Linked DNA regions of Nothobranchius furzeri. Each later gene encodes a partner of the first gene's protein in a complex. Links are inferred from orthologs where the notes say so. Each region holds a gene or a part of one and is shown in the gene's direction. Other genes may lie near its edges.

Evidence for each region.
Region 2: ing5a (region 1) and jade3 share a complex: the UniProt entries of both Homo sapiens proteins name them as parts of the HBO1 complex. The link is inferred for Nothobranchius furzeri from reciprocal best matches to the Homo sapiens genes ING5 and JADE3.
Region 3: ing5a (region 1) and kat6a share a complex: the UniProt entries of both Homo sapiens proteins name them as parts of the MOZ/MORF complex. The link is inferred for Nothobranchius furzeri from reciprocal best matches to the Homo sapiens genes ING5 and KAT6A.
Region 4: ing5a (region 1) and brpf1 share a complex: the UniProt entries of both Homo sapiens proteins name them as parts of the MOZ/MORF complex. The link is inferred for Nothobranchius furzeri from reciprocal best matches to the Homo sapiens genes ING5 and BRPF1.
Region 5: ing5a (region 1) and kat6b share a complex: the UniProt entries of both Homo sapiens proteins name them as parts of the MOZ/MORF complex. The link is inferred for Nothobranchius furzeri from reciprocal best matches to the Homo sapiens genes ING5 and KAT6B.

The regions. Positions count from the first base shown.
Region 1 is NC_091748.1:41,162,623-41,168,686, forward strand, and holds the start of ing5a (inhibitor of growth protein 5a), read left to right. Parts: upstream 1-2,253; 5' UTR 2,254-2,350; coding exon 2,351-2,387; intron 2,388-4,562; coding exon 4,563-4,634; intron 4,635-4,887; coding exon 4,888-5,054; intron 5,055-5,197; coding exon 5,198-5,309; intron 5,310-5,381; coding exon 5,382-5,481; intron 5,482-5,565; coding exon 5,566-5,701; intron 5,702-5,786; coding exon 5,787-5,848; intron 5,849-5,939; coding exon 5,940-5,979; 3' UTR 5,980-6,064. Other genes in the region: plekhb2 (pleckstrin homology domain-containing family B member 2), read right to left, coding at 101-181, 431-470, 595-697, 804-956, 1,056-1,092. UniProt on the Homo sapiens protein: Component of the HBO1 complex, which specifically mediates acetylation of histone H3 at 'Lys-14' (H3K14ac) and, to a lower extent, acetylation of histone H4. Component of the MOZ/MORF complex which has a histone H3 acetyltransferase activity.
Region 2 is NC_091756.1:62,531,922-62,538,075, forward strand, and holds the start of jade3 (protein Jade-3), read left to right. Parts: upstream 1-2,151; 5' UTR 2,152-2,312; intron 2,313-5,220; 5' UTR 5,221-5,274; intron 5,275-5,343; 5' UTR 5,344-5,354; coding exon 5,355-5,403; intron 5,404-5,471; coding exon 5,472-5,554; intron 5,555-5,649; coding exon 5,650-5,807; intron 5,808-5,925; coding exon 5,926-6,116; intron 6,117-6,154. UniProt on the Homo sapiens protein: Scaffold subunit of some HBO1 complexes, which have a histone H4 acetyltransferase activity.
Region 3 is NC_091757.1:30,187,594-30,193,219, reverse strand, and holds part of kat6a (histone acetyltransferase KAT6A), read left to right. Parts: coding exon 1-100; intron 101-4,040; coding exon 4,041-4,134; intron 4,135-4,227; coding exon 4,228-4,459; intron 4,460-5,099; coding exon 5,100-5,289; intron 5,290-5,379; coding exon 5,380-5,626. UniProt on the Homo sapiens protein: Histone acetyltransferase that acetylates lysine residues in histone H3 and histone H4 (in vitro). Component of the MOZ/MORF complex which has a histone H3 acetyltransferase activity. May act as a transcriptional coactivator for RUNX1 and RUNX2.
Region 4 is NC_091755.1:57,354,843-57,361,171, forward strand, and holds the start of brpf1 (peregrin), read left to right. Parts: upstream 1-2,489; 5' UTR 2,490-2,664; intron 2,665-4,017; 5' UTR 4,018-4,062; coding exon 4,063-4,799; intron 4,800-4,955; coding exon 4,956-5,145; intron 5,146-5,232; coding exon 5,233-5,520; intron 5,521-5,605; coding exon 5,606-6,123; intron 6,124-6,237; coding exon 6,238-6,329. UniProt on the Homo sapiens protein: Scaffold subunit of various histone acetyltransferase (HAT) complexes, such as the MOZ/MORF and HBO1 complexes, which have a histone H3 acetyltransferase activity.
Region 5 is NC_091756.1:40,156,474-40,162,099, forward strand, and holds the end of kat6b (histone acetyltransferase KAT6B), read left to right. Parts: intron 1-168; coding exon 169-429; intron 430-1,204; coding exon 1,205-1,523; intron 1,524-1,624; coding exon 1,625-4,479; 3' UTR 4,480-4,703; downstream 4,704-5,626. UniProt on the Homo sapiens protein: Histone acetyltransferase which may be involved in both positive and negative regulation of transcription. Required for RUNX2-dependent transcriptional activation. May be involved in cerebral cortex development.

The DNA.
Region 1 (6,064 bases):
TTTCCTGTTTTTTTTTTAAATAATTCTCTTTTCAAAATGATGAATTATGACATAATAGATATTTGTTGTATTTTCCCATCATATTTACAAACAGTTGTACCTGTGGGTGAGTATATTCGGAGTAGGGGGGAGGAGCAGATGCAATCACTTCTGCAAAACCAATCTGAGGAGTAGCAACCACCTACATGATCAACAAATTAAATGAGACTTCTACAAGCGACCAATAACAAAAAAAAAAGAGTTCAATTGCTTCTGAACAAATGAAAGCAGAGAATGATCGGCTCCCTGATGGAGACATTACAAAACACGTCTTCAGCTTAAAGCTTAATGTTTTAAACTTGTAGTAACTCAAATGCTTTTTAAAGTTTTAGCTCAGGAATTTAACCAAACAAAACAAATACAGAACCCCACAGATGCAGCAAAACCTCACCGTATTAATCCTGGCATCCTGCAGTGCCATGGTCCATGCACTGCAACAAAAAATGTTTGAGAATATAAATTATGTTTTTCTCAGAATGTAAACATATTTCATTTCTGTGCATCCACTTTTATCAGCAAAGAAGTTAAAATAAATAAATAAATAAATGTGCTTACAGGGCATCATCTGCACTGTCTGCACACAGGCTGATGACACGTCCATCTCTGCACACTATCTGGAACAATGCATCACGTATCTTTCCCTCTGGTGGGTTCAGTTCTGGGAGGAAGGACAAAAGTTGAGAAGGATTTTTTTTAAACAAAAAAAGTGTATAACATTCTGCAAGTGTGATTTTTACGCAAAAATGTGTGGAAAGAAAACAAACCCTGGCATGCTCCAGAGTTGCGGATGTTGATGCAGTGGACTCTCATGTGAATGTCATCCTCCATGTCGCGCCGTTGTTGATCATTGTAGAAGACGAGCCGGCCATCAGCCCACAAATCAAACCAGTTTCTTTTCCACCGGCGTAATATGGTACCTAAAAGTTAAATATAACACTTGTTTGACAAGATTTCTTGATGTAGACCTTTTTTTTCCACTGAGGGACAGTTGAATACACAGAAACACAATTACTCACTTTGTCTATGAAGCCAGCCACTCTTTACCATAGCCATCTGCAACCCCTAAACAACGTGAGTCAGTTAGAGCTGGAGATGATGACTGGGTGTGGTGCATCTAAAACAAACCTCATGACTGCTAACATAACTGACCAGTCTCCTTCAGAAGAAAACAGCCTCACGTGGAGGGCAAATTAAAGTCTTTTAGAAAGTGATCACTATTAGCAGACTTAGCTCAAATGAGTTTGATCTGCTAGCACAAGAAGTTACCGTGTGACTTTAATAGAGTTCCTGTTCAGTGTTTAAAGTTCAGATGTTGTGCCATTATGTTTATTTATAGTACTGCATTTAATACAAATCATTTAATTCTAATTTACATAAACTGTATGGGTCTCAATGGCAGGTGATGAAATGGGATGAAATAAGTACACATTGTTTAAATGAAATAAACAAATAGCATTTTTTGCTAGCTAGTTTCCAGATGTTAGGTGATAGCTAGTGAACTAGCATGGCTACTTATGAGTTTAAAATGTTCACAAAGTGAGAAAACAGTACAATTCTGTCAGACAACAAGCTTATTTTGTGGTTTACATACTTACTTTTATTCCACTGTTTGTCCCAAACGGTCTTTTTCGTGATAATTAAAACGCGGAAGTGATATGCAAAAGGTCGATGCCTTACTTCGAGATGAAAAGGCCTGACCGTTAGCAAAGTGACTACAGCGTTTAGACCGGAGGGCCGTTATGTTTCAGTCAATGTTAACTCCGCCCCACCGAGCATCTTCACAAGTGGCCCGTCTCTGGAGAGGGAGGTGTGTTGTTTTGAATGACGTAACCGCTCAGCTGACAGCTGTGGAAAGTGCTAGCAAAAAAGCAGCAAGGGTGCGCTTGGTTACAGCTCACACTCACTGTGCACACACACGTGAAATATTTGCCCTTCTCTTGGCAATGCAAATATGTGTGGTTTTATTTGTTTATTGACGGTGAAAGTGTTTTTTTAAACATCAAATAATTCACCTTTAAATAAAATCGAATTTAGAAAATGGTGAGAGGTGGGGGACAAATATTGGCACAAGAACTGAGTTTTAGAATTGTTAAGAGTGTAGAAAGATATAAGTGACCAAATACGAAATTAGGCTGTTTGCCTGGGAACAAAAATGTTTAATTTTGGTCTGGGGAAATAGAAAGGCGGGAGCCAACATTTTAGCCATCGCCCGGCGGCAAACTCAGGATAGTAAAACAAACGCAACAGCGCCCCGTGAAGCCGTGACCACAGAAGCAGCAGAGTAACGCAGCAGCTAAATACATAGCCAGAAATGGCGACGGCAATTTACTTGGAGCATTATTTGGACAGTAAGTATCTGATAATGCACCGAGATCGATAATAACTTGTCAAAAATGTTTTTGTGCTTTACGTTGATTTTTATCGAATAGTTTGCTCAAAAGTAGAGACAAGTAGTTGTTACATTAGCAAACTTTAGCTTTCCAGCTAACTCGCTGTCGCAGCGAGATAAGTAGATGGGTAAAGATGAAATAAACTGTCATTGATAAACACGGTAATAAACCTCCCGTGTTTCACTTATTACTAAAATATCAACTTATTTTTTTATTTACAACAGTAATACTTTATTGATAAAGAGCATATTGTTTATCTTTGACTTATTTGAAATCACTTTCTGTCAGTTTGTATGTTTGCAGCAACCTCTTCGATGTATGCGCATCGCTTTGAAAACCGCGTTTCCCGTAACTGTTTAGACTCCAGCCGAGGCGGGGTGTTTGACGTGCTTTTCAGCTTGTGTTACTATAAATCCTCACACATCTGCAGCTGATGTTGTTACACACTATTATTCTGCCACTGAAAGTTATTTTGCTATTGCGCAAAGTAATAATAATGTTGCATTGAATACATCTCCATAAGCTTTAATTGTGTAACCATAGTTGTTTGAACTCTGACTCCAGTTATAATCACGTTATTACCGAGAGTTTGTCACAAATGAAGGAAACTAGGAATCCCGTGTGTCATTAGATCAATAAGATTCAATCTCATTCAAATGTCTTTGACGGTGAGAAGTACTTAAATTCCTTCTGGAAAAAAGAGACTTTTATGTGTTTTACATTGTATTTGTAATCTTAGTTATTCAGAAAATGCTTTTATTGATTTGTTCATTAATGTAAATTTTCTGTTTGGGAATTCTTAAAGTAATCAAAACAAGAAGTGGATGATTTGTTGATGTTCTGAGATAATTAAAAGCCTGTTTGTTATTGTAATTCATTCTATTTTTTTCACTAGGAAGGTCAGAAATGATCCATTTTGAACTTAGGATTTGCACGTTTGTTTCAATACCAAAAATATTCATTGCAACATGTCAGAATCAGCTGAGGTTTTCAGTAGGGTTGGGCATCTTTGATTTTGAATTATTCCAATTCCTTGTTTTGATTCCGGTTCCTATCGATTCCCGATTCCGATTCTTTCCAGACATGACATGCTTTACATGAGCCAGCTAACCACAGGGCCTACTTGATGGAATAATCTTAACTTCAAAATGAATTTTAACTCTATGAACAACAACATCACCCTCATTTAGACAAAAACATGTTTTGGAGACAAAAAGACTTGCAGCACAACCAGTGTGTTTGTTTCTGACCACAACCAAAGTCTGGAAGCAGCCTCTGGGATGAGAGGCTAAATGTCTCCAACATATCCAGAAACGTCCAGCTGTCTTCAGCTAAAACTCTCAGGATGATCATGTCCAGGATGACGGAGAACTACACCTCCATGCTGCAGCAGCATTCAGTCAGAACAGGAAGAGAAACTTAAACGTTGCTGCTGTCGGTAACAATCTAACAGATTTTAAACATTAAAACTCAACAGAAATAGTTCAGAAAGGAAATTAAAATGTTCACAACTTTGTGTGATTTATTATTATTATTTATTAGGGCAGCAGCTGATGTGGTTCACCACAGAGAAAGTTGCTCTAGCATGATGACTTAATAATAATAATTATTCTACAGGTTATTCACCCTTCTGACGCTCACGCTCGAGTGTTGGTGAGCGGCTGCGTCTGACTGCTGACGCTCCGTGTGTGTTTTTATTTCTGCAGTGACACAAACTCACCTCACACCGTCCAGAGTTTGTTCTTTAAAGCTTCTATTAAATCCACCGTGTTGACGTATTTAACAAGTTTCCTCTACGCTGCATTTTTCGCTGCAAGAATTCAAGTTTACATTACGGAGTAAAAGTTCGGCGGACGCGTCTGTTTGGATCTGGTCGCTGCGAGTCGGTTGGGGGGAGGGGGACTCGGTGCTGCACACAGACAGCTGGTGTGATCAGCTCTGGAAAGCGTTGATCACAATTTGCAGATTACGTTTATCTTTCACGGAGATCGTCCGTGGATTCTCGATGCGCGATGCCCAACCGTAGTTTCCAGTGATATCTGAACTCTACTTCCTATGTTAATTAGCTGTAAATGAACTTGGGTATGTTCAACAAAAGTAATAAATGTCTTTCCTGGGTAATCATCTCTCTAGGTATTGAAAACCTGCCCTGTGAGCTGCAGAGGAACTTTACTTTGATGCGAGACCTGGACAATAGAACTGAAGGTGCTGTTTTTACATTTATATTTCATCATCCAAAAGGTATAAGAAGTTAAACATTCACGTTTGTGGCAGTGTGCATATTGTGTTTGCAAGAAGTTGTCATCTATGAGATAATATATGTATAATCTGAAGTGACAGAATAGTTGTTGGTGTTAAAAATGTTCCCCCATTGAAAATCAGCAGCTGTTATTTGCGTAAAGCAGAAGTACAGTACGGGGGAATCTCTGGTCCTAACATATATTTTTCTGCTGTGTAGAAAAGAAAGCAGAGATTGACAAGCTGGCTGAAGAATACGTGGCGAATGTGAAGAACTTGGCTTCGCAGCAGAGAGTGGAACATCTACAAAAGATTCAAAATGCCTACAGCAAGTGCAAAGAGTTCAGCGACGATAAAGTCCAGCTTGCAATGCAGACGTATGAAATGGTCGGTGTGGAAAAAGACTCGCAGATTTTCTTTCTTCCTGTTTTAATGGCTTGTTAAGAGTTTTCCTCATGTTGCCGAATACGTTTTAGGAAAAGGTGTGATTCATGTAGCTGAATGTTAAAAAAGGTCCGTTTTCCTCTCAGGTGGACAAACATATTCGGCGGTTAGATGCAGATCTGGCTCGGTTTGAGAACGAGCTCAAGGAGAAACTGGAGTTGAGTGGATATGAGAGCACAGATGGAAGAGGGCTGAAAAGTAAGTTGGTATACTGAGATGCTACTGGTAAAGATTTGATGTTAGACATGCGTGTTGGTGTATTTGGTGCAGAAAGCGATTTGCGCGTACAGAGAGATAAACGTGGATCCAGGGGACGGGGGCGGAAAGGTTCTGATGAAGACTCTCCCAGAAAGAAAAAGATAAAGAACAGGTAGATTTGGCCTTGCAGATACGTAAAACCCAGAATGCATTTCTTTACCCTTTATTAATTTTCTGTAATGTGTCTGAATTTCAGTCCAGACTTGACTGAAGCTCTCCTGCCAATGCAACCGTCTGACGTTTTGGACATGCCTGTTGATCCCAATGAGCCGACATACTGCTTGTGCCATCAGGTGTCATACGGAGAGATGATTGGCTGTGATAACCCTGATGTAAGCCTTTTCTTTTGCAGACATGTTTCTCCTCAGATTTAAGTGGATATTGTCATCCTCACGTTTTTTTCTTTTTCACTTTTAGTGTCCAATCGAGTGGTTTCACTTTGCCTGTGTGGACCTAGCCACAAAACCAAAAGGGAAATGGTGAGACCATTAGTCGGATCAGGTGTTCCTTTAATGGTCCAAAAATGACCTGTTTAATGTTTCTTTTTCTCCTTTTCTTTTCACCTGGCAGGTTTTGTCCAAGATGCACTCAGGAGAAGAAGAAGAAATGAGATTTTCAGTCGGACATCCGTTATACGAGGATCTTTGTTGACGTCTTTTTTCATCTTTGTGCGCATGCGCGAGTGGTTGTGTGGC
Region 2 (6,154 bases), on another chromosome or scaffold:
AATTCTGTAACATTGTGTGCAAGATAAAACTACATTGTTAATGATTTTATCTATTTTAAAAATACATTTAATTAAAAGAACGAACACAATTTAAACGTTTTTGTGTGAAAATTTGTGTGCAAGATAAAACTGCGTTTTTAATTATTATATTTATTTAAAAATACTTTAAAAGAATAAACACAATTTAAACGTAATTTTTTTATTAAATTGTGGGCAACATAAAACAGATTGAGTGCCATATCCTCCCCAAAGTTCATAAAGATCTGATGTGGTATTTCAAAATAATGTATCAAAAGTTGGCTCTAAAAGCAATTTTGACTATTCAATGGTTAATTTCTCAAAAACTGATTGCACAACATCATTCCACATCACTCCTAAAGTACACATAAAGCTCTACATCCTCCCCGACTTTCATAAAGATCTGATATGGCACTTCAAAATAAAGTGCAATCAAAGTTGTCAATAATGACAATTTTCACCATATTCAATGGTTTCTTTCTCAAAAACTGATTGTGCAACATCATTCCACATCACTCCTAACGTACACATTGAGTACTACATCCTCTCCAACTTTCATAAAGATCTGATGTGGCATTTCAAAATAAAGTGCAATCAAATTGGTCAATAATGACAATTTTTCACCATATTCAATGGCTCTCCAAAACGGTCTGATTGCACAACATCATTCCACATCAATCCTTAAGTACACACCGAGTACTACATCCTCCCCTACTTTCATGAAGATCTGATGTGGCATGTCAAAATAAAGTGCAATCAAATTGGTCAATAATGACAATTTTCACAATATTCAATGGTTTCTTTCTCAACAACTGTCTGATTGCGTAACATCATTCCACATCAGTCCTAAAGTACACATTGAGTACTACACCCCCCCCCCCCTATTTTCATAAAGATCTGATGTGGCATTTCAAAATAAAGTGCAATCAAAGTTGTCAATAATAACAACAATTTTCACCTTATTCAATGGTTTCTTTCTCAAAAACTGTCTGATTGTGCAACATCATTCCACATCAGTCCTACATTACACATTGAGTACCATATTCTCCCCCATTTTCATTAAGATCTGATGAGGCATTTCAAAATAAAGTGCAAAGTTCTCAATAATGACAATTTTCACCATATTCAATGGTTTCTTTCTCAATAACTGTATGATTGCGCAACATAATTCTACATCACTCCTAAAGTTCACATCTAGTACTACATCCTCCCCGACTTTCATAAAGATCTGTTGTGGTATTTCAAAATAAAGTGCAATCGAAGTTTTCAACAATGACAATTTTCAGCATATTCAATGGTTTCTTTCTCAAAAACTGTCTGATTGTGCAGCATCTTTCCACATCAGTCATAAAGTACACATCGAGAACTACATAAGCCCCCATTTTCATAAAAATCTGATGTGGTATTTCAAAATAAAGTACAATCAAAGTTCTCAATAATGACAATTTTCACCATATTCAATGGTTTCTTTCTCAAAAACTGTCTGATTCCGCGACATCTATTCTACCTCAGTCTTAAAGTACACATCGAGTACTAAATCCTCTCCGAATTTCAAAAGAATCTAATGTGGCATTTCAAAATAAACTGTGATCAAAGTTGGCCATAAAAACAATTTGGTCTATTCATTGGTTAGGTTAGACCTCACGATTAATGTGTATATATGTCGATAGTTCAGACACACATCTTAGAAGTGCGCTTTTATTTTGAAAGACACTCTTGTAGTTGCGCCCGTAAAAAGCCAATGAGGGCTGGCTTGACACCATGCTTGACACTCGTTTCCGAACGAGGGCTGGCTTTTTACCGTCATTTTAAATAAAACCACCAGCTAAATTTAGACCAATGTGATTTTTAAAGCAATGTAATGAACCCACTATTGTTTTGTAGGGTTGATAACAAGAAGATGAACTTCATGTGATTAGTCCTTTGAAGTTTTTGATTTGCTGCTCTAACTTCTAAAAATGCATCTCAGCTACGGTTTCAAACCCATTAAAATCTACAGGATCTTACATTTTCCTGTCTATCCGGGTTTGTTTTAGGTTTTGCGTTTGGTAGTAATTTGTTGAAGAAATCCACGTTAACCGGTGAGGTTTAGGACCCGGAGGAACGAGCGGTACAATAGAGCTCTTGTGGCGTGTTGGTGGGTGGGCTGCTAGGGTTAGAGATTCCCACTGTGTGCTGGGATTCAAACTCGTTTTAATCTAAAGCTGGGACCACGGCCCATAAACCTGGATGTCTCTGCGGTCTGTATGACCCATTGTGTTTGGAACCAAGCGGAAAGCGAACATGAACTGAAGGTAACGCGGGAGGAATGTGAACAATATGCGCGTGTGTTCAGTGTGCCAGGATGGTTATTCAGGCCACAGGGCCTGGTCCTTTTCAGCTATCCCAGGAACATGTATGTCCCTCCACCCTACAAATCGCAATACCATTGTGTTAACTCTTGTATTGTAGCATTTAGTTATCTTCTTTTGAGAACTAAAAATGGCTGAGCTCAAAAATATTCTCTTTAATAGCTGTAGGAAGTGACATCTTTGTACGGTGGTGGCGCCATGTTTGATTTCCTCGCCTGCCTGCCGAGGGCCTGTGAGTGTTTGGCGCCAAGACTTCCCCCCAGACAAAACTAGCGTTACTTAAAGCTTGAGTACTTTGCCTGTTGGACTTGTAGCTCCATGAATCCGCCTGCGACTAAATGCATGGCATTTAGAACAACGCAGTGGTGTTATGAGAGAGAGAAGTAAACGTAGTGGAAACGATTTAATCGCTGTTTCTGATGTCACATCCGTACCGTAGCAAGCAAGCTGGAGTATTTTACTGGTGTTGTAGCGAAAAATGCACCCCTCTCGCAGCGTCTCCCCTGCCAGGGATTTGTGACTGTTATTAACAGTTTGGTGACTTTATCTCGTTCCTGCCTGAACAGCTTGCCTTTAAAACCACTCCCTATACACAACAAGTCTATATATCACAACAAAAAGTCAAATGTGTCCATGTTTTATGCTGGAGCAATAGTGGCACCCCATTAATCATTACTCCTGGCTTTGTTTCAAACAAAAACCTTCACTTCTGCTACAGGGGTTCTTTCTGCCTATGTTACCAGCTCAGTTAGCTGGTTCTACTGTGACATTGCCATCAGCTAACACAAAAATGTCCCTAACAAACCTTTAGGTCATAGTAGCTGAGAGGCATCCACGATACACTGCTCATTTTACTTTTGTATTCTTTGAATGAAAAATTCCAAACGGTGGTTATGTTATAGAGTTGACATTTAATACATGAAATACTTATTTGGACTAACAAATGCAAAAAAAAAAAAAAGATGTAGTTTGAAGCCTAATTCTCGTAACTTTTGTTTTTGTACCAGATGTTTGTAACACAAACATATATTGTGTGTCTGCTCTGTCTTCTCAATCCCCAGTGAGTTGTGGCCGATGGCTGCTTATACTGAGCCTGGGACATCAGTATCTCAATAGATAGAGCGGGTTGTCCAGTAATCTGAAGGTTGCAGGTTCAATCCCGGCTCCTACCAGAGAATGCTGCTGTTGTGTCCTTGGGCTAGACACTTAACCTAGCTTGCCTACTGGTGGTTGTTGGAGGGACCAGTGGTGCCAGTGTATGGCAGGCACTTGGCTTAATGAACTGACCTGTATAGGAATGTTTACTTTGAAGTGTCTTGAGACGACTCATGTCATGATTTGGTGCTGTATAAATGATCTCAGTTTAATTGAATATATGTACATGGTAGGGCTGGATGATATAGAAAAAAAGGAAATCAATAAAAAAAATTTATATTGATCGATATTGATAATTATGAAAAAAATATTAAAACAATTGTAGAAAATATATTTTACGTGAAGCCCTGGCCATTTTCTTCTTGGTATTTTTATTTTTCTCCACCTCTTCTGGCTGAGACATCTTGCTGCGGCTGCCTCATGCTCTGTTTTGGCTTGAGAAGGGGAGGGCCCGGTGCCTGAGTCTGTGGTTTTGATTGGTTAGGAGTAAGTAGTTAGTCTAATATGCTGCTACCCGATGGGTATAATGAAAAAAGGAAACTTTTTATCGAAGTTTTATCGACCTATTTATTTTTTTCTTATCGCATCACACGTCAATCGATAGACATATTGAACTATTGATTTATCGTTCAGCCCTAGTACATGGTATGCTTAAGATTTCATGGTAAAAAGAAGTTGTGGTTAGCGAAGCACCAATAACAAAATCCTAGTAATTGGACTCTGCCAATATCAGGGTGATTGGCTAAAATTTTAATGACCCTCCGGTCTGTGAATGTCACTTTGCTAAGCAGTGATTAAAAAAAAATCTTTCTCTGTTAATTCACCATCAGTAAAAATCCGTAGGGCAAGAATTAGTCATTTGCGTCAGCTTTCACCAACCAGGATTGGTGCATCTCCTCGTTGCTTTGTCTTTAAGCTTTAGTGTACTAAAAAAAAAATAATATTAAAAAATTACATTTAGTTGCCTAATATTTAAATAATTCTCATTGAAAGCCCATTCACAGCCTTACTCATTGGAAGTTCGCTCATGAGATCATTTTATTCTATGACTAAACACTGAATGTTTACAATCAGTAATCAATTTCCCTCTGGGATTAATAAAGTATTTTTGAATTTGAATTGAATCCCATATGTGTCGACCAGCAGCGGTTTTGGTGTTTTAGATCTCCTGGGCCATTTTGTTGCAGAGGTGGAGCATAAACAGCCATTACGTTGGTGGGAATCAGTCGATTAGGCGTTCTTCTCTGGATTCTATGTTTTACTTTACTCTGGCAGATACAGGACCTGGCCGTGTGCCTCCTCCTCCTCCTGCTGCTGCCCCTCCTGCCCTCATGGGGAATGTGAGGCATGTCCTGTCTGTTAAAGCAGCTCACTGTATGTGGGGCTACTCTGGGTCTGAGTCCCTCAGCATTTTGAAACCATAATGAGTTTACCCGTGGTCCTGTGGGCTGAAGGTAAACACCGCTGGCTCGTGGTGTTGTCTCTTTTTCACTTCCATTCATCTGAATTACGGCTGTTGCCCAAATTATGTTAGATTATTGAGAGTAATTCGGGGAGTGTTTTTTTCTCTTTATATTTTAGTAAATGTCATGAAGAGGCAATAAATCTTCATCCTGATGCAAAGTATGATGACAGAATAGATCCTTGTTTTGTATTAAAGCTATTTAACTGACTCACTTGTATTTTTCTTTTGCAGAGTTACAACAAGGTGGTTTATTATTCGTCAGAATTCATTAGAATGAGGTTTATGGTGAGTAACGTTTTGTGATGGTTACCGTTGGAATGAAAAGGCCTCCTGTAATAATTCCATTTTCTTTAGGACTTATCAGGATGAAACGTCTCAGGTCGTCCAGCAGCAGTGACAGCTCAGACAATGAGAGTGAGTCGCTGCAGGGACTGAAACTACATCTGACAGCTTCTTTTCACTTACAGTTTGTTTTCTGTCAGGTCCTTCTACCTCCTTCTGCTCATTTAACAAGTATTGCAGCAAACCTGGAACCCCCGCCTCGAACCCAAAGAAGCCGGCTGAAGTAAGATTGGTTTTTGTTTTAGTTTACTGTGTGTTAATAAAGTCAGGACCAAAGGGTTAACAGTCTGTGTTTCTGGTTTTGGCTCACTTCCACAGGTGTTCAGAAAAGACCTGATAAGTGCTATGAAGATACCCGATTCCCACCATGTCTCCCCAGAGGACTTCTACCTTCTTGCAGACACCTGGAAGCAGGAGTGGGAGAAGGGTGTCCAGGTGCCAGCGAGCCCAGAAACCATCCCAGATCCATCAGTCAGGTATGCCCGTCTCATAGCCAGAGACCTTGCCATGGATAGACTGATGTAAAACATCTTCTTTACAGCCTAAAAATACACTGTTGATTCCAAAAGATTGGTTTTGTGTCTTTTTTGTTAGGGTTATAGCAGAAAAGTCCAAAGAAGTGCTTTACACCCACCAGAGGAAGTACATCCAGTGTTCGAGCCTGGAATCAACAGAACCCGGATATGTTAACATCAAAGAGCTGGCAGAGGCCATGTGTCGCTACGATCTGGATGACATGGACCTGTACTGGCTGCAAGCACTCAATCTTGAGCTTCACCGCATGGGTACGAGGTGCATGGTGTAGAGCAGAGGCCCTTGGCTC
Region 3 (5,626 bases), on another chromosome or scaffold:
AGACCACAAGACTCTCTACTACGACGTGGAGCCCTTCCTTTTCTACGTCCTGACCCAGAATGACAGCAAAGGCTGCCACCTAGTTGGCTACTTCTCTAAGGTACAGTAGTGTCGGCTTGTTTTCCTTAAAGAGCAAGTAGAAACCGTTTTTACGAGTTTCACATGCAGGCTGAACGTGGAAATAGTCTACTACCCCTATTTCCTGCATTAGCCGAAGACGGGGAAACTCGGGTTAGAAAAGCTAGTGATGTTGGCACATCATAATGTCAAGTTAGCATTCAAGGTCTCACCCATCTCTGCTCATGACGGGGAAGGTTGATTGTGCACCCAGGAGAGAGCAGAGCACGTCTCTGCTAGTAGAAGCTCACAGTTAGCGTTAGCAACTCTACAACATGGCAGAACTCCTTCAGACTTGTTATTTGTGGAGATAAAACGTCAGCATTGCAGAGCAAACAGGGTTGAGGCTAGTTTATACTTTTTTCATCTGCATCGGTGTGGAGACATGTGGCGTCATTATCCGTCATCGAAGGGGCTCTCCAATAGGCTCAAGGATGGACGGAATCGAGGCCACTTTTATAAATAGCTGTCAAAAGCGACAGACCGCAAGGCTGTGGTTGGTCAGGGCGCTGCTTCTTTTAACTTCATCAACAGCCCCACCCTTCCCCCTCAAAAAAATAAAACGAGAACCCAACATATCTAGCAACAGACGCAGAGCAGGATAAAGAAAAACTTGCAGTAAAAGTCAGATGATATAAATGTTTATACAGTCATGACTAGGGGTGTAACGGTTCACGGGGGAGTGTTGAACCGCTTCGGTTCGGCCTGTTCGGTTCGGTCCACTTGCGTACCGTTTCGTTAAATAATGAATTTTTATTTGCGTGATTTAAGTGCAGCGAATAAAAGTTCCTAGGCAAGTTTCCGCACAGACGCTATATTGAGTGACGCGTGATGGCTGCACACACCCGATCTCCGTTTAACTCTCCCAATGTCCTCATGGGTGACCCCGCCAGGAGAGTTGACCACTGAGCAGGGTTCATGTTTATCCCTTGAGGTCCACGTGGCAGGGGTGAGGAGTGAGCACCACCCCTGCCACGTGGACCTCAAGGGATAACCCATGAACCCTGCTCAGTGGTCAACTCTCCTGGCGGGGTCACCCATGAGGACATTGGGAGGGTTAAAAAAATGTTCTATTCAAATTCTGATAAATGCCTTTCAGAGCAGATCAAACCAGCTGGCTGTCGCTGCTGCTGGAGCCTGTAGAGACGCTGAACAAAGTGTCACATCACCCCTACCCCCCTTCCCTCATACTGTGCCGGGACGCAGTGGCAAAAATTTAAACAAACACAGCAGCTGAACTTTCCCCCTGGGACAACTGATGTAAAGTTTTCATCCTACAACAAAAATACGGCGCGGAGGATGCTCGTTATTTAGTGCGAGTTTTAAAGAAGAAACTCAGGGCGATGTGAGGTGGGTTTTAAGGCTCGCTGCAGAAATAACACGGAGCATCAACAGTCAAACACAACACTGTGTGAGTGCGACACTCATAGCTGCACAAATACTCTCTGAAATAAAGACATCACGCTAGATCAGCAGCCTGTGATGACACCTGGTTCTGCCCACTATAGGAGCCGCTTCAGATGTTAAATAAATATAATAATTATATACCGAAAATGTATCGGCCCGAGCGCTTCAATGACACTGAACCAAACCGAATATGATGTTGGCGTACCGCTACACCCTTACTCATGACTGAAGGAGTACAAAGAAATGCAGCAAACCTTTTATTTGTGTCAGGAAATGACCAGAAACGTGAGTTTAAAGGAGGTTACCGGATGAAGAGCTGGAGGACAAAGTTGTCGATGTTGAAAAGTCTCTGAAACACAATTTAAACCCAATACAGATGCAACAGCATTGATAGCAGGATACACCAGCAAAGCGCTACGCCCTCTGCTGTTCAATGTTGTTTTTGGCAGGCATCTTAGTTTTAGTCTTAGTCTTGATGACGGAATTGCATTTTGTCTTAGTTTTAGTCGACTAAAATTCAAAAAAGTTTTAGTCCACAAAGATATTTTTTTTGTTTTACAAAAAATGTAACCAAGTATTATTCTCTAACAAATGAATGTATAGGTCAGATGTGTACTGGAGTGAGTTTCTTATCAACATCATTCACTGCCCAGTTTTTTGTCCAGTAAAATAATAATCCACAGATCGGTATCATTTATTTTTTAACTTTATTTATAATCACTATGCTGTACAAAATTTATTGATGCAGATCTGTGCATCATTCTGTAGATTTTCACAAAAGAAATTTAGGATTTTCTTAGCAGAATGGACTCTTAAGGAGCACGCAGACTCTGTACTCTACTATTTAAATAGAAATAAAAAAAAAGTATTTTTTAAATGTATTATTTGAGTTATCAGGCCTCCATCTTAGTGTCTTTAAATGTATTTTTTTGCCACCTACATGCAGTAATGTTTTTCCATAGGACTGCAGAATTTATATAAATAACCCAGTTTGGGCTTAAACTGTTATGCTGTTGATTTGAAAAGTAAGAATGTAATTCGATATTAGAAACCAGAGATTAGATCAAATAAAACATTCGTCTTAAACGTGTTCAGATAAAACCTGTTAAAAACTGTCATTTCTTTAATTTTTCCTCCCAAAAGCATGACTTTGTCAGGAACCACACGGATAAGAAATGTGTTAGTATTACGGCCATATTTAAAAGTAGCAACTTTGTCGCTAATAATAGTGTCAGTGAGCGACTGAGCACTGCGCATTCCTGCATTAAGGAAGCGCTGAGCCAAGCTGACTGAAGTTGACTTCCAACCTACATCAGAAATCCACGCAAAAAGAGTGTTCAATCAATCAATCAATCAATCAATCAATCAATCCTTTATTAATCCCAGAGGGAAATTAGAGTTGCGGTACATACAATTCAGATATCAGACATACATGGGCAAGACACATGACAAGAATTGGTGACTGTGGTCATTCGCAACCCGAGTCGCGCTACTTTAATGGAGATAAGAGGGTTACATGAGGATTGGTTCAGGTGGAGGGAAAAAAGGCACTTCAGAGTTACCCTCCACCAGGAGGGCAGCTTTGCTCTGCAAAAAAACACCTCAACAGATATGCAACGGACTTCAGACAACACAACATAACATGAGACTCCAATGGGGGGGGGGGGGGGGGGGGCTGGGGGGGGGCTGGGCTGAGATCAGCCATCTACGGCGCTCATCTACTGTACAGTCACAGGTGGGAGGGAGATCTTGGGAGAAGCAAAGAGCACTTTGACTCCTACAGTTGATGACCTCACCAATCCGAAGGCGGGAGGGGGTAGGTTTAGTGCTACGTTGGTGCTGGATTTCTACAATCGAGTAGAACAAACTTTTGAACTTGGCCTTTAATGCCTCTCAGCAAAGCTCCTTTAATCCGAAGAACCCAAAGTCTGTCAGCAGAATTGGGTTTGGGGGTTGCCATTTACACTCCCCACCATCACCAGCATTACCAGTTTAATGGTTTATTGTAGAGCTGGTGATAATTATTTTATAAACTCTATATAACAGAATGGTTTTTGCCTTAGACATTTTTTAAAATGTTATTTATGTAATTTTTACTTTTTCCCTAATAATTATGTATTGGCTCAGAGGCTCAGAGTGAAGGGACAGAGGATGAAAACATTGTGAAAGGTAGCTCTTAGCATTCTTCCCTAATAATAATAATAATAATTAGTGATGTTACTTGGAGTAAACGCTTAACTTGTTACCATGTCATAAGTCAGTGTAACAGTCCATATCTTTATGCTGATAACTAAAGTTTGACCTGGTCTGCTGGTGGAGCAGTGTCTCTAGAGATTTGTTAATATGTATTTTGTCATAATTCAGGTGCTCTTGGGGGCCCCCTGCTGGTCCAGGGGCCCTAAGCAGCTGTTTCCTTTGATCATTCAGTACATTCAGATTCCTTGCTGGAAATCATCAAAACATATTTGTGTTGAAATGTTTTCAGTTTCATGGTTGAACTGATGTTTGTTCTGCAGGAGAAGCACTGCCAACAGAAATACAACGTATCATGCATCATGATTCTTCCACAATATCAGCGGCAGGGCTATGGGCGTTTTCTCATCGACTTTAGTAAGAACATCACAGTGCTTCCACTATTAACCAGCATCAACCTAAAACATGAGTAACTAAGTTATAACGTCTTTAATGCTCTGCTCCTTTTAGGCTACTTGCTGTCAAAGCGGGAGGGACAGCCTGGATCTCCAGAGAAGCCTCTGTCAGACCTGGGTCGGCTGTCCTACATGGCCTACTGGCGCAGCGTGGTGCTGGAGTGTCTCCACGAGCTCCATGACCGACGGATCACCATTCGCCAACTTAGCAAACTGACAGGGATCTGCCCACAGGACATCACCACCACCCTGCACAGCCTCAACATGCTGGAGCAGCGAGGAGAAAGGTCAGAGATTAATGAAGACTAGTTACTCATTATTTATCATCTGTTGCTCAAAAGCCTCTTTCGTTAAACAATGCCGCCACTTTGCCACAAAGCTGAGCCGGTGGGGAATCTTGTAGGTGTGGCGCTGGAATTGCAGCTGTGGTGCAGTGCTACGCCTGAGCCTTTGTAGGGGAAACACTGCTGTGTCGATGTTGATTTATAACAACAGTTAAATAAAGTTTTTTTCTAGTAAATATCAGGGATGATCAAAATTGGCCAATTTCTGTGAAAAACGTGATTGGCAAATTCTGATCAATGCCTTTCAGAGCCAAACATACCTGCAACAGCACCAACCGTAGATAAGTACCAACTAGCGAGAAAAGCAGCTTTTTGATCTTCTTTGTCTGCAGCTGTTTTAGTGCTTTTCGGTGCACCGCTGCTGATACAGCGCCCCTGTAGTGGCGTAACGCTGCAACTGCAGTTAAAATAACATCCATGTAGCTGGGGGCAGAGTGAAATCAGGCTGGGGAGCCACAAAATTAGCTGGAGGCGGCCGCCACGCAAATTTGAACGCAGGAAAAACCCTGCATAAACAGATTAGTCGACCACTAAATTACTCATTCAGGACTCATAATGCCGTTGGTGTTGTGTTTTCCTTCAGACTTGTGCTGGTGCGAAAGGAGAAGATAGTGGCGAACCACATGGCTCGTCTAAAAGCCCGGCCACGGCAGCTGGATGTCGACCCCGAGTGTCTCCGCTGGACTCCGGTCATCGTGACAAACACGGTGGTCTCTGAAACCGACGGAGAGGATGAGGTGGATGAGGATGAAGGAGGAGACGTTCACAAGGAGGTATGTACATTTAGTTTGTGGAATGTAGGAACCCATCTCAAATCTGCTTTACGTTATGTTTGATTATTTTCCTTTACAAAATGTGAACAGGTCAAACCAAGCCAGAAGGTCCTCCCAGCACCCTGGCAAATGCAGCCCAGTGCAGAGGATGAAGAAACAAAAGGCTTTCTGGGGTTTCCCATCAACCAGAGTTCTCCAAATTCCCCCTCCATCCGTGGTCCACCACCTGTCCTAGGGACAAGACCCCCACCACCGACAAATGGAGAACGCAGGCCACGGGGACGTCCGCCCAAAAACTTGCCTTGGGGCAAAATAAAAAACACTGCACGGGTTGGAC
Region 4 (6,329 bases), on another chromosome or scaffold:
TTTGTCAGTGTGTGTCCTATCTGGTCACTACAGCTAAATTCACACGGTTGTCAGTTGCTTCTGTTTTAACTTTAGGTTTTATCTATTACACTACTTTGGGATCCAACACTAGTGTTTTCAGATTAAGGAACAGAAATTAATTCATGATTAAAATATTTGCAGGAGTGCAGTGCCTTGAACATGGGTTAATATGTGTATTTCCTTCTTTAAAGCAGAACATTTCTACATTCAAGTTCTTTTGAAAGTATGGTTTTTGTTTTTAATGCCAATTAATCATTTTTGTTTACATGTAAATGCCCTTGTAAAACTGCACTATTACTACAGTATATATACTTTTATTTACACAACAGAAATATGTTTCAACTTGTGTTTACTTTCCACCCCTTTGACCAATGGAATGCCATCTAGATGAGATGTTCTGATGCCTTGCATAAACAATTATTTGGACTGAAACGGTTACTGGAATGAATACTTGCCAGCAGCCAAAAACAACTGGTTCCGGTCAAATGGTTCAGTGGGACAGAGCCTCGTTTTGATTGGATGCGCATGAGCTGGCAGTGTTATAGGGGATGGGGAGTGTTCAGAGCCATATATACTGTACATAATCATTTTTTACAGTAGATGCCTCTGGTTGTGTTTTGATCAGAATGTAGCAAAACCATGTGAAAGCTTGAGGCCTAAAAGTGCAATTTAACCCCTTTTCATAGAGCTTTGACTGTGGCCTTGGCACAAGCCTTATCTGTGATGTGTGCAACAGGAGAACACTGAAATGTTAAAGTTCCAAGTCCAAGCAAGAGACAGAAGTTACCAGGCAAAGTATAATTACTACAAACCACCTATCTGACTCTTTCAAAAGTTCTTTCAACTTGGCTAATACTCGGTGCACACTTATGTAAAAGGTTTTGTGCAATCACCCATTAAATTGGATGTTTTTTCCTTTTGTGATTTGTTGTTTTAATGCTGCACTTTACCAAGGTATTACAGTTGTGCATTTTGTTCCCATATGATGGTACAAAATACTAGTTTTCAATGTAGCAAAGAAGTGTTATTGCCTTGCTACAAGATGTGTTGATTATTTTATGAGCTGTTTGTGACGATAGCCTAACCTGTTTTATTTTGCATTTATTTTCAACATTGTATTGTGAAATTAACATGAAACTTGATGTGGGAGATTTGCACAACATATTGTCTCCATTTATTCTGTTGGGAGTTCCTTCACTGTATATAACAGGTTTCACCAAACTGTACTTTTTACCACTGACAAGCATGGCCAATATTTTCATGATCCGCAAAGCATAGGAACAGGAAAAGTGTTAAAAGTTTCAAGATCTCACATCTTCACCACACAAATGATTTCAGCATCCCAGTCCTGCCAAAGCTGTGACCTGTATAGCTTGTAGTATTTGTACATTTTATTTTGACTGTTGGAAGATAGCATTTGTGGAGCCGAGGTCACTTTATTGTATATTATTCCATCAATTCGGTTTGAATTGGACTTTTATAGGATATTATGCAGAGTCTTCTGCTTTGGTGAAATATTTCCAATTGTAAGAGATTTCTGTTCTCTGTAACTTGTATCTGGTATGTTCCACTTTTCCTAGCTGCTAACTGGTTGGAGAGCAGAGGAGGAAATGATGAATACAGGCATATTCATTTGGATGTAGTGATCATACGGAGAGCTGTAATGAGCGGAGGAGGAGCATTTCTGACACTGTTCCTCTGCACACCTCACTCCTTTTTGGAAATCATTGTCCTTATGATTATGCTCTGATTATCTTTGGCTGGTATTTAAACTGTGTGGGTTGCTTTTGCCTGCTTACCCCACTTTGTCCTGCTGCATTCTTATCACAAACTGTATGTTGAGAGAGAGAAATAAATATTTTGTGCTTGATGGTTTTGATTAATTATTGTGTGCACACCATTAGTGTAGCTGTTAGTCAATGCTGTTATAATTTGACAGCAGGAAGTCGTATCTTATTTACCTCTTCGCAGTTTTGATTTCATTGAATAAAACGATTTACACACTTTTTATTTTAAGTAAAGTTTAAACAATAAATTTCTGAGTAAAGGAAGATGATCATCTTTGATGGACAGACTCGTATACAGAATGATACTGGACCAAATTTGGAGTTTAATTTGTAACATTAACTACAACTTGTGTAAGAAAAGACAAATTAAAACTGAAAATTAGAGCCTGTGAATTACTTTCACCAAATCACTAATGAAGTGTAGGCAGACCAGAGAAGCCCTTAGGTTGGATGGTGATTTTGTGGAGCCGCCCACTCTACTTCTAACAACCAATCACGTAGCGTATTCAAATCCAAGCACCAATCAGAGCAGAGAGTTCAGCCCACTGCGTCCCTCCGTCTGATCCAATCTAAAAGCAGTCAAGCAAGCCTGTTTTGCGTGGCGAATGTGTCAATCCGCCTCCACGGCTAAGCGTTACAGTAATGGTTGCCCCTTTTGTTCAGCCGATTTACTAAATTATTCCCCACACAATGAAATTATATGGACGCGAAATTGTTCCATGAAAACGTTTCAATGTACCTATGCTTTCCGTGGCCTCATCTGGGACTATCTAATGAATTAAAATCGATCTGCAAGCCGTCTGAGCTGCTGTCTGAGGTGTCCGATGCGCGCAGTTTGCTTGAGGAACGTGCAGTAGTAAGTGTTTATAACGTTAGTAGCCGGGATATGTAGTGCTATTTACTAAATGGTTGCATTTGCGCATATATTGACATTCGGGAAATGTGAGAAGACACGATTCTGTGGTTGTTGTAATCCACCATAATAGCCCAATGTGTCCAGAAAACAAAGTGACGTTGGTGCAAAATAAGCGCTACAAAAACAAATAGCTGTATAGTGGTGACCTAACGTAAATGGTTCTTAGTTAAATTTGGTCAAAAATACCGTTTTCCTGTGGCAAAGCCTATAAAATAATAATGTTACGCTCTTATTTTGCTACCTTGTGTATGGAATCCACAGGGTGAGGTCAATATGGAGGGAAACGCTGGCTCTGAATAATTAATCAAACTGCAGTCTTTCTAACTTAAAAACATTAATTGGGTCATTTTATTTTCATATCAGTTGTATCAAAATGCGTTGTAGCGCTAACATAACATCTGCCTTTGTTTAGCTAACATTTGAGCACAGCTATAGTTCAACATTATCAACAAAATGGTACACCGGGTTAATATTATTACGGATAAAAGAATCCTCGATAAGAAAAATAATGTTTTGTGGCCTCGTGTTTGTGGAAACCTTGTTATTTGTGCTGTGTAGTTTGAAAAGGGACCAAATGTTGTTTACTAGCAGTTGTTAGCATGCTAGCTAATTGCGCCAGCTACAGTCATTGTTTGGGGGAAGCATGCTAACGTTAGCTGAACTAAAAGCATTATGTTTGAAGAGTTCCCTGCTAGCTAGCTATCATATATCCCTCTCTCTCCCTCTGTCTATTTCTACATTTGCAGTCTTATTTGTTTTATTCGATTACTCCAAACATGACAGAAATTCGTTAGGATGTTGTCTTAAAGTGCACCTGTTAGTGGGTTCATATATTTCCCTCTGGGAATTGTGTTCACATTTTATCCATTTACAGAAATATCCCAACAGCACTGTAGGGACACGTTATTACAAGTTACATGCGTGGAGCAATGCCATTCAAACAAAACTGATCTTACATGAAATTATCGTTAAATACTGTGGGTCATTATTGCATGGAACTATTTAGATTAAAATATTTTCTGTTGTGCTTGTTTTATTTTGTCTAGTGTAAAACCCTTTCCCATAAGTGATTTTTACTCACATTTGTCTCTTCAGCCTGGCAGAGTGAATATTACATTTTTCTCCAAAAGATTTAGTAGAATGAAGAGTTTAAATGCATGTATTTAATACGCAAGTAATTAAATTGTGTAAAAGCAGATAACTACTCTCAGAACTCTTAAGTAATTTTGTAGTTTAAACCCACAGCTTTTAATTTCTTGTCTCCTCATTGTTCCCACTTGTGTTCTATTCCAGATGTAAAGTTAAACCACACCTGGCCCTGAAGAGGCTGCTGGCGAGATGGGACTAGATTTTGATGTGAAGACATTCTGTCACAATCTGCGAGCCACCAAGCCGCCGTATGAGTGCCCTGTGGAGACTTGCCGGAAAGTCTACAGGAGCTTCAGTGGCATTGAGTATCACCTGTACCATTACGACCACGACAATCCAACCCCTGCTCAGGCCATGCCCCAGAAGAAGAGAAAAGGACGGCCTCCTCGTGCCTCCCTGGCTGGCTCAGGGGATACGGATGATGGTGGCGGCAATGGAGGACCTGGTCTTGAAGGGACCACGCCAGGTAGCCCCAACCGGTCAGAGCACTCCCAGTCCCCTGGAAGAGATGCCATGACCTATGCCCAGACGCAGCGCATGGTGGAACTAGAAATCCAGGGACGCATTCACCGCATTAACATCTTTGACGACATTGATGTGGTTTCAGAGGAAGACAGTGATGCAGAGGATGCACCACCGTCGGGAACTGGTAGCTGTGGGGGAGGGGTGTGTAACGGTAGTGACAGTGGAGCCGGAGGCAGCGAAATAGGAGGAAGCGGTAAAGACCGTTCAGAAATTCCGTCCTCAAATGGTGGAAAGGCCACCCCAAAGACTGGGAAGCACAAGAGTAAAGATAAGAAGAAGGATGGTTTATCTCACCATCACAACCCTCAATCTGGTCTTGCAGTCAAGCTCCCAGAAGCCGTGTTCAGAGAGCTGGACCAAGAGAGGCCCGATGCCCCACCCCGGCCTTTATCCTACTACAGGTTTAGGACTAAAATGATTATTTCATTTTATACTTGTTGTTTTGTTTACTTATATGAAAAAGTTCTGTAATATTGTCTTTCTACTGTGTTTTATTAGAAAGCTTCACTTCTCTATTTGACTCCTTTGTCTTTTTGTTATGTAAACTTGGACTTCAGGTATATTGAGAAGTCTGTGGAGGAGCTGGATGAAGAGGTGGAGTATGACATGGATGAGGAGGACTACATCTGGCTCGGCATCATGAATGACAAACGGCGACGTGACAGCGTGACGCCCATCCCTCAGGAGGTCTTTGAATACCTCATGGACCGCTTAGAGAAGGAGTCCTACTTTGAGAGCCACAACAAGGTACCTGTACTTATCTGTAGGGGCAAGAATAGTTCACTCACTGTAACGTAGCTGTTGACTGATGCATTCTGTTACTCCTCCCCTCAGGCAGACCCTAGCACCTTGATTGACGAGGACGCCGTCTGCTGCATCTGTAATGACGGCGAATGCCAGAATAGCAATGTAATTCTGTTTTGTGACATGTGTAACTTGGCCGTGCACCAAGAGTGCTACGGGGTGCCCTACATCCCAGAGGGTCAGTGGTTGTGTCGGCGCTGCCTTCAGTCACCCAGCAGAGCTGTGGACTGTGCTCTGTGTCCTAACAAAGGAGGAGCTTTCAAACAGACAGACGATGGACGCTGGGCTCATGTAGTGTGTGCCCTCTGGATCCCGGAGGTAAAAGCATACACTACTACTTACATCCAATTTGTCCTTTCTTTTTTATTTAGTCATTTAAGTAACGTTTGCTGCCATTTCTCAGGTCTGCTTCGCTAACACAGTCTTTTTGGAGCCGATTGATAGCATCGAGCACATCCCTCCTGCACGCTGGAAGCTCACCTGCTACATCTGCAAACAGCGCGGCTCAGGCGCCTGCATCCAGTGTCACAAAGCTAACTGTTACACAGCGTTCCACGTCACCTGCGCTCAGCAGGCGGGGCTCTATATGAAGATGGAGCCTGTCAGGGAGACCGGGGCAAATGGGACCTCCTTTAGCGTCCGCAAGACGGCATACTGTGACATCCACACTCCCCCAGGATCCGCCCGACCTTTAGGAGGAGTGGGCGGTGCCAGCATGGGGTCGTCTAACAGCGAAGGGGAGCTGGAGGACGACGATGAGCCCAGCCTTGGCCAGGACGAAGACTCCAAGGGGTGGAGTTCTGAACGAGCCAAGAGGGCAAAGGCCAAATCCAGGCTGAAGATGAAAAGAGCAAGGAAGATCTTAGCAGAGAGGAGAGCCGCTGCCCCAGTAGTCTCAGTGCCGTGTATTCCTCCCCACAGGTAGGTGTGTTTTAATAAAAGCATCTTTTGTAGTATATGCAGTTGATAAATTATACAAACAAAATAACTTTCTCAAGTGAGATACACTTTAAAGCGGTGTTTACTTTTCTCCAGGCTCAGCAAAATCACTAGTAACTTGACGGTACCCAGAAAAGGTCAGTTCATGCAGAGGCTTCACAGCTACTGGACGTTGAAGAGGCAAAGTC
Region 5 (5,626 bases), on another chromosome or scaffold:
TTGCTCCAGTCAGGACGCTGCTCATTTTATCTGGAGAAACCTGCAGTGATTTATTTGTTGTGATGTTAATTCCGATCTCTTGTTTTCCCATTAGCCTCGTTGCTCAGATGTTCTATCTGTGCGTGCTCCCTTCCCAGAGATAATGCATCTTGTCCGTTTAATTACCAGGCTGAGCGACTGAAGGAGCAGGCCAGTTGCTGGGAGAAAGAAGAGAGAGAGGGAAACGCGATGATTCACGGCGGCAGGCAAACTCTCACCAAGGTCCGCTGCAAGATTCCCTACAGGACGTACGAACGCCGCCCCGCTCCCCCCTGGTCGAGGCGCATCCAGCCATCAGAGGCGGTGAGTGATGACGAAGCTGATGACGACTCCGACGGCTCGCCTCCCATCCTGACAAAAGCTCATACGATGCTTGCAGCCAAGAGAAAGGTGACTTTTATTGTTTGTGTGCTTTTTCTGTCCACAAATTCTGCAGTAAAGTGGAACCACACAGCTATCTAAATATTCCCCTCATTAAAGAGCGTGTTGTGTACCGGAGTGAGATGGAACGGTTTGATAAATATTCATAGATGTGGTGTAGGGTTCAATGGCTTCCTCCTGTCATCTGGAGCCTCCCCTGTGAGCCCTCGACAGTAGATAATGGATTGTGTTTTCACTGCTGGTGTTGAGACTTTGCAGGCTAAACCTTGTACTATTGTCAGTGGTCATGGTTAATTTACCGCCCTCTTGTGTGCTTCTTACATCTGTTCTGTCTAGATGGCACTGCCCCCTTGTGCTGCAGATAATATTACAGCTGACTTGGTGATGTCAGCGAGGTCTGTTCGAGAACAGCAGCACAGAAACCAGAAAAAGAATGATATGGAGTTTATTTAGTGCATTAGTTACAGTATTGATTTCACATTCTGCTTGTTGACAGTTCTGAGGAGGAAAGCGGTCGCGTCGTAGGCATCCGGTGGGAAACAACTAAAGAATGTAAAATATAGAGTGTGGTTTCTGCTGGCTCTGCCGGTCTCATTCGTGGTTTCCCACACCAGGCTGCATTGCTTTTAGTCTTACAGTGGGGTTTAAACCTCTAGCACACAACCCCTGGGCTGGTTCCTGCTGTATCCTCGTGGAGGTCACACGCCTAGTGCCCTAGTTTCAGTCATTCAACTGCAAACAAGGTTTTGGTCTGTTTTCATTGCTTGTTTTATTTGCCTTTCAGAGCGCGATTGTTCTCAAGAAGCGAGGGCGCAAAAGGAAGCGAATAAACAGCAGCGTAACGACAGAAACCATCTCTGAGACCACGGAGGTGTTGAACGAACCGTTCGACAACTCGGACGAAGAACGCCCCATGCCCCTGCTGGAACACACGTCCAGAATGGGCGAGATGGACGAGGAGGATGACGACGATGACGACGAGGATGATGAAGAGGAGGAAGAGACACAAAAGTACAAGACATCAATTATACAGATGAAACGCCGGAGAGGTCGCCCAAGGCTTGAGAAGAATGCACACAAAGATCTTGACCTCTGGAATGAAGGTATCTTAAGTTGCTATTCACACATATTTTTACATGATTTACCTTCATCACCAACAGGACAAGACGGTGAAGCTTTTGTTGTTTTGATTTTCCATCTGTAGGAGCTGACGTTGTCTCCAAAAGACCCAGCAGACCTCGTCCAGTGAAAAGGAAGAAAGGCTGGCCCAAAGGGGTTAAACGAGGTCCTCCTAAATGGAGACTCAAGAATGAACGAAAGATGGGCTTCAAGCTGAACCTCTACACCCCCCCTGAAACCCCCATGGAGGCCGAGCAGCACCATATTCGCATTGAGGAGGCAAAACACGAAACAGATCAGGATATCAGCGCAGATGAGGGTAGAAATGTAGGCAGAGGCTTGGCTAGTCCGGATTTAACGCAGGACGGGCTCCAGTCGGAGCCTCCAAGCCCTGCTGACCACGGCTCCCAGACGTCAAGCTCTCCTGAGGGATCACCGGCTGCTTCTCCTGTGTGTTCTCCTGCTTCTCCGGTGTGTTCTCCTGCTGCATCCGTTGAAGCTGTCTCACCGAGCCCTGCAACTCGAGCGGACTCTCCAGAACCACCGGAGGACAACCAGCGGGAGAGTGGACTCAATCAGGACTCACCAGCCAAAGATGTGGAGCTCAGCACCGAGGTCTCTGTATCGCCGGAGAATGACAACGAGGAAAACGATGAAGAGGAGGAGAAAAGAGCTCAGCTAGAGGATCAGGATGCTGATGATGAAGATGAAAGTCACAGCAAGGCAGCAGTGCCAGAGAGCAGCGCTGAAGAGTCAGAACAAAGTTCAAAGGAGACACCAAAATGCACCCAACCTTTTTTAGATCCAAAAGAAGACAATGGCTCTGAGTTGAGTCAGCAGGTTGCTAAAGACCTCTGTAGTGAGAAAGAAGCAGTTAGTGCTGCAGAAAACCTGCAGGATGGAGTAACAGAGAAGACAGAAGCAACACCTCCGCCTGAAGATGCAGCCGTCGCTTCAATAGCGGCTGCAGACTCCGATAATCCTGCAGAGTCTGAGTCCGAGGAGGAAAGCACACCCAGTCCTCGTCCTAATCAGCCACCTCTTCTGCCTGCAGGGAGTACAAAAATCAGTCCCGTGCTGAGAGAGGATCACCCCGTCTACACGGAGATTGACTCAGAGACTGTTCAAGCTGTTCAGTCCCTGACGCAAGAAAGCGAGGGAGAGAACGTTTTCCAGGACTGTGTGGAGAGCCAGGAGCCTTGCAGGAATCTACAGAGTTTTGCCCACGTGGCCCAAAGCCCTCAGCTCACTTCGCTGGACGACTGTCCTCAGTCAAACCACAGCAGTCCCCTTTCCTCGGCACAGTCCCATCCCAGCCAGTCCGTACGCTCCGTTAACAGCCCTGCAGTATCCATCATGGAGAGCGGCTACACTCAGATCAGCCCTGATCACAGCGCCATCTCCGTGCCCTCGCTTCACAACATGGAGACGAGCCCCATGATGGATGTGCCGTCTGTGTCCGATCACTCCCAGCAGGTGGTGGACAGTGGATTCAGTGATCTCGGCAGCATTGAGAGTACCACAGAGAACTATGAGAACCCCAGCAGCTATGACTCCACCATGGGGGGTAGCATCTGTGGCGCAGGTCCCTCCCAGAACAGCTGCTCGTATGGCACTATCCCCCCCAGCGGTCTGCCCCAGAGCAGCTGTGCTGTAAGCCAACAAATGGCCGCCGTTAACCCTGGCAGCTGTGGGATGATTCAGGCGAACAGTCTGAGCTCGCCGCCACATTGCAACGTCAAGTCGCCGCAAGGCTGCGTGGTGGTGGAGAGGCCTCCCAGCAACAGCCAGCACAACCAGCACAGTCAACACAGCCAGCGCAGCCAGCACAGTCAACACAACTCCCACAGCAGGCACGGCCCACACAATCAGCACAGCCAGCACAATCAGCTAACCCAGCATAGTCAACACAATCCCCACAACCAGCATAGTCACCACCACAATCACCACCCGCAGCACAATCCGCTCAGCCAGCACAATCAGCACGCTCAGCATAGTCTTCACAATCAACACGGTCATCACAGCCAGCAGCAGCAGCAGCAGCCCATGGCTCAGTGCGCCATACCCACCAACTTCACCACCACCGTGCAGCTGGCAGACATCCCCGAGTCTGGAAACCCAAACTTCGCCCTCTATGAGAGGATGAACCGCCAGGGGGAGTACGGCAGCGGGCACTACGCTCAGTCGTCAGGCCTGAGTTTGGCCAAGCTGCAGCAGTTTACCAACACGTTCATGGACCACTCTCACTCTTTGCCTTTCAACCACTCGGCTTCACACCCCATACCCCACACCTCATACGCAAACACCCCGTCACTCTCGTCACAGCACTCCAGCCTGGTATCTTTGTCCCAGACCCCACACAGGGTCCCCAACCCACAGGTGCAGGCCGCCATGACCCCTCCCCCAAACCTCAGCTCGCCGCCACACATGATGCTCCAACCCAACATGGGCATTCCGCCCTCGCAGCGGATGCCCCAAATGACATCGAAGAGTCACATCTCTTCACGCTCCAAGTCGGCCTCGTTGTCCCACCACCACCACCACCAGCAGCAGATGTACTCCCGGCCACCACAGACTGTCGCCATGCAGGCGCCATCCAGGACGCTGGCTGCCATGCCACGCATGAACATGAGCATGAACATCATGCCGGCGCCAGGCTACAACGTCAACTCCATGAACATGCCCTCCCTCAACGCTATGAATGGCTACAGCATGAGCCAGCCTATGATGAACAGTGGCTACCATGGCAACCATGCCTATATGAACCAGTCACCCCAGTACTCTATGCAGATGGGCATGATGGGAACACAGCCATACCCCCAGCAACCCATGCAGGCTCCGCCACATGGCAACATGGTGTACTCTCCAGCTGGTCACCATGGTTACATGAACACGGGCATGTCCAAGCAGTCCCTGAAAGGGCCTTTAATCAGGCGGTAACTCTCCGCAGGACAGAGCTGCCTCTTCCCGCGTGCTTTTGGCCGTTGGAACGATGCACTGATCAGGCCTTGTTGTTCCGTTTTCTGGTGTCCTTTTCAGTTACGTTTGTTAATTAAAAACCAGCAGCAGCACTTGTAAAGAATGCAAAAAGTTTCATCAGTGAGTTCACTTTAAAGCTAACGTTAAAAAGTATTTTTGTTCCTCCTGATGGGAAGCCTTACATCGTTATGATGAAAATCTATTTAATTAGTGTTAGCGTCTCTGATGTGTCTTTAGGCCAGGCGGGGTCAGAGCTCGGACGTAGAGATTTCATCTGTGGTCTTGCAGTCGTGTAGCAGCCTCAAATGAAGCCATTCAATGCTACAAGTGGAGAATAGTGGCTGTTTGAACCTGTTCAGTGTACCTGTCTAACAGTGCTGACCTTTAGTTTGTACTATACTCATGCCTTTGTATATTTAAATTATTGTACTTATTTTGTAAAGTGAGAAAAAGCATGCTTCAGTCTCCGTTAGTGACAGTGCATTTGAGTAGTACTGTACAAGTGTTGTGCTTAATAGCAAGCCATTTAAAAGTATCTGGCCTTTATTAGGTATCCCTCCACAGGGACAAAGATAAAACTATATTTTGTTAAATCAAATAATGTAAAAAAAATGTAAACTTAGTCCTGTTTTCTGTTTGGTTTGAGAGGTTTTATTGCGATGTGTGTATAATTCTGAAGCCTTTTGTAACGGATCTCCTTGAGGCAGCTTTCTGTTTGATAAAGCAGACTGATTTCTGTCAAAAGAGACTAAAAACAAAGCATATCTCAGTGTTTGTACCCTGAAAATTCTAAAACATTTCAAAAGGTCCGGAAGTGTGGCAGAATTTAAAAGAATTAAATGATTATAACAACGAATAACGATAAAGAAGATATAAACTTAGTCCAAAGTCGATATTTTACATAATGCCTTTAAAGCTACGTTTTCATTCCATCTGTAGATTTGTTTTCTATCTTTATAAAATGTGGAATTTATATTTTACCGAATTGTAGAAGAATAGAGCCTGTGAATAGACACAAACTAAGCTAATGGATTGCATGTAAAACGCAACTTGTACTTGTGTTTTGTTTTATTTTTTCTTGTTAATATTGCTCTTTTGTAGCCTTTGT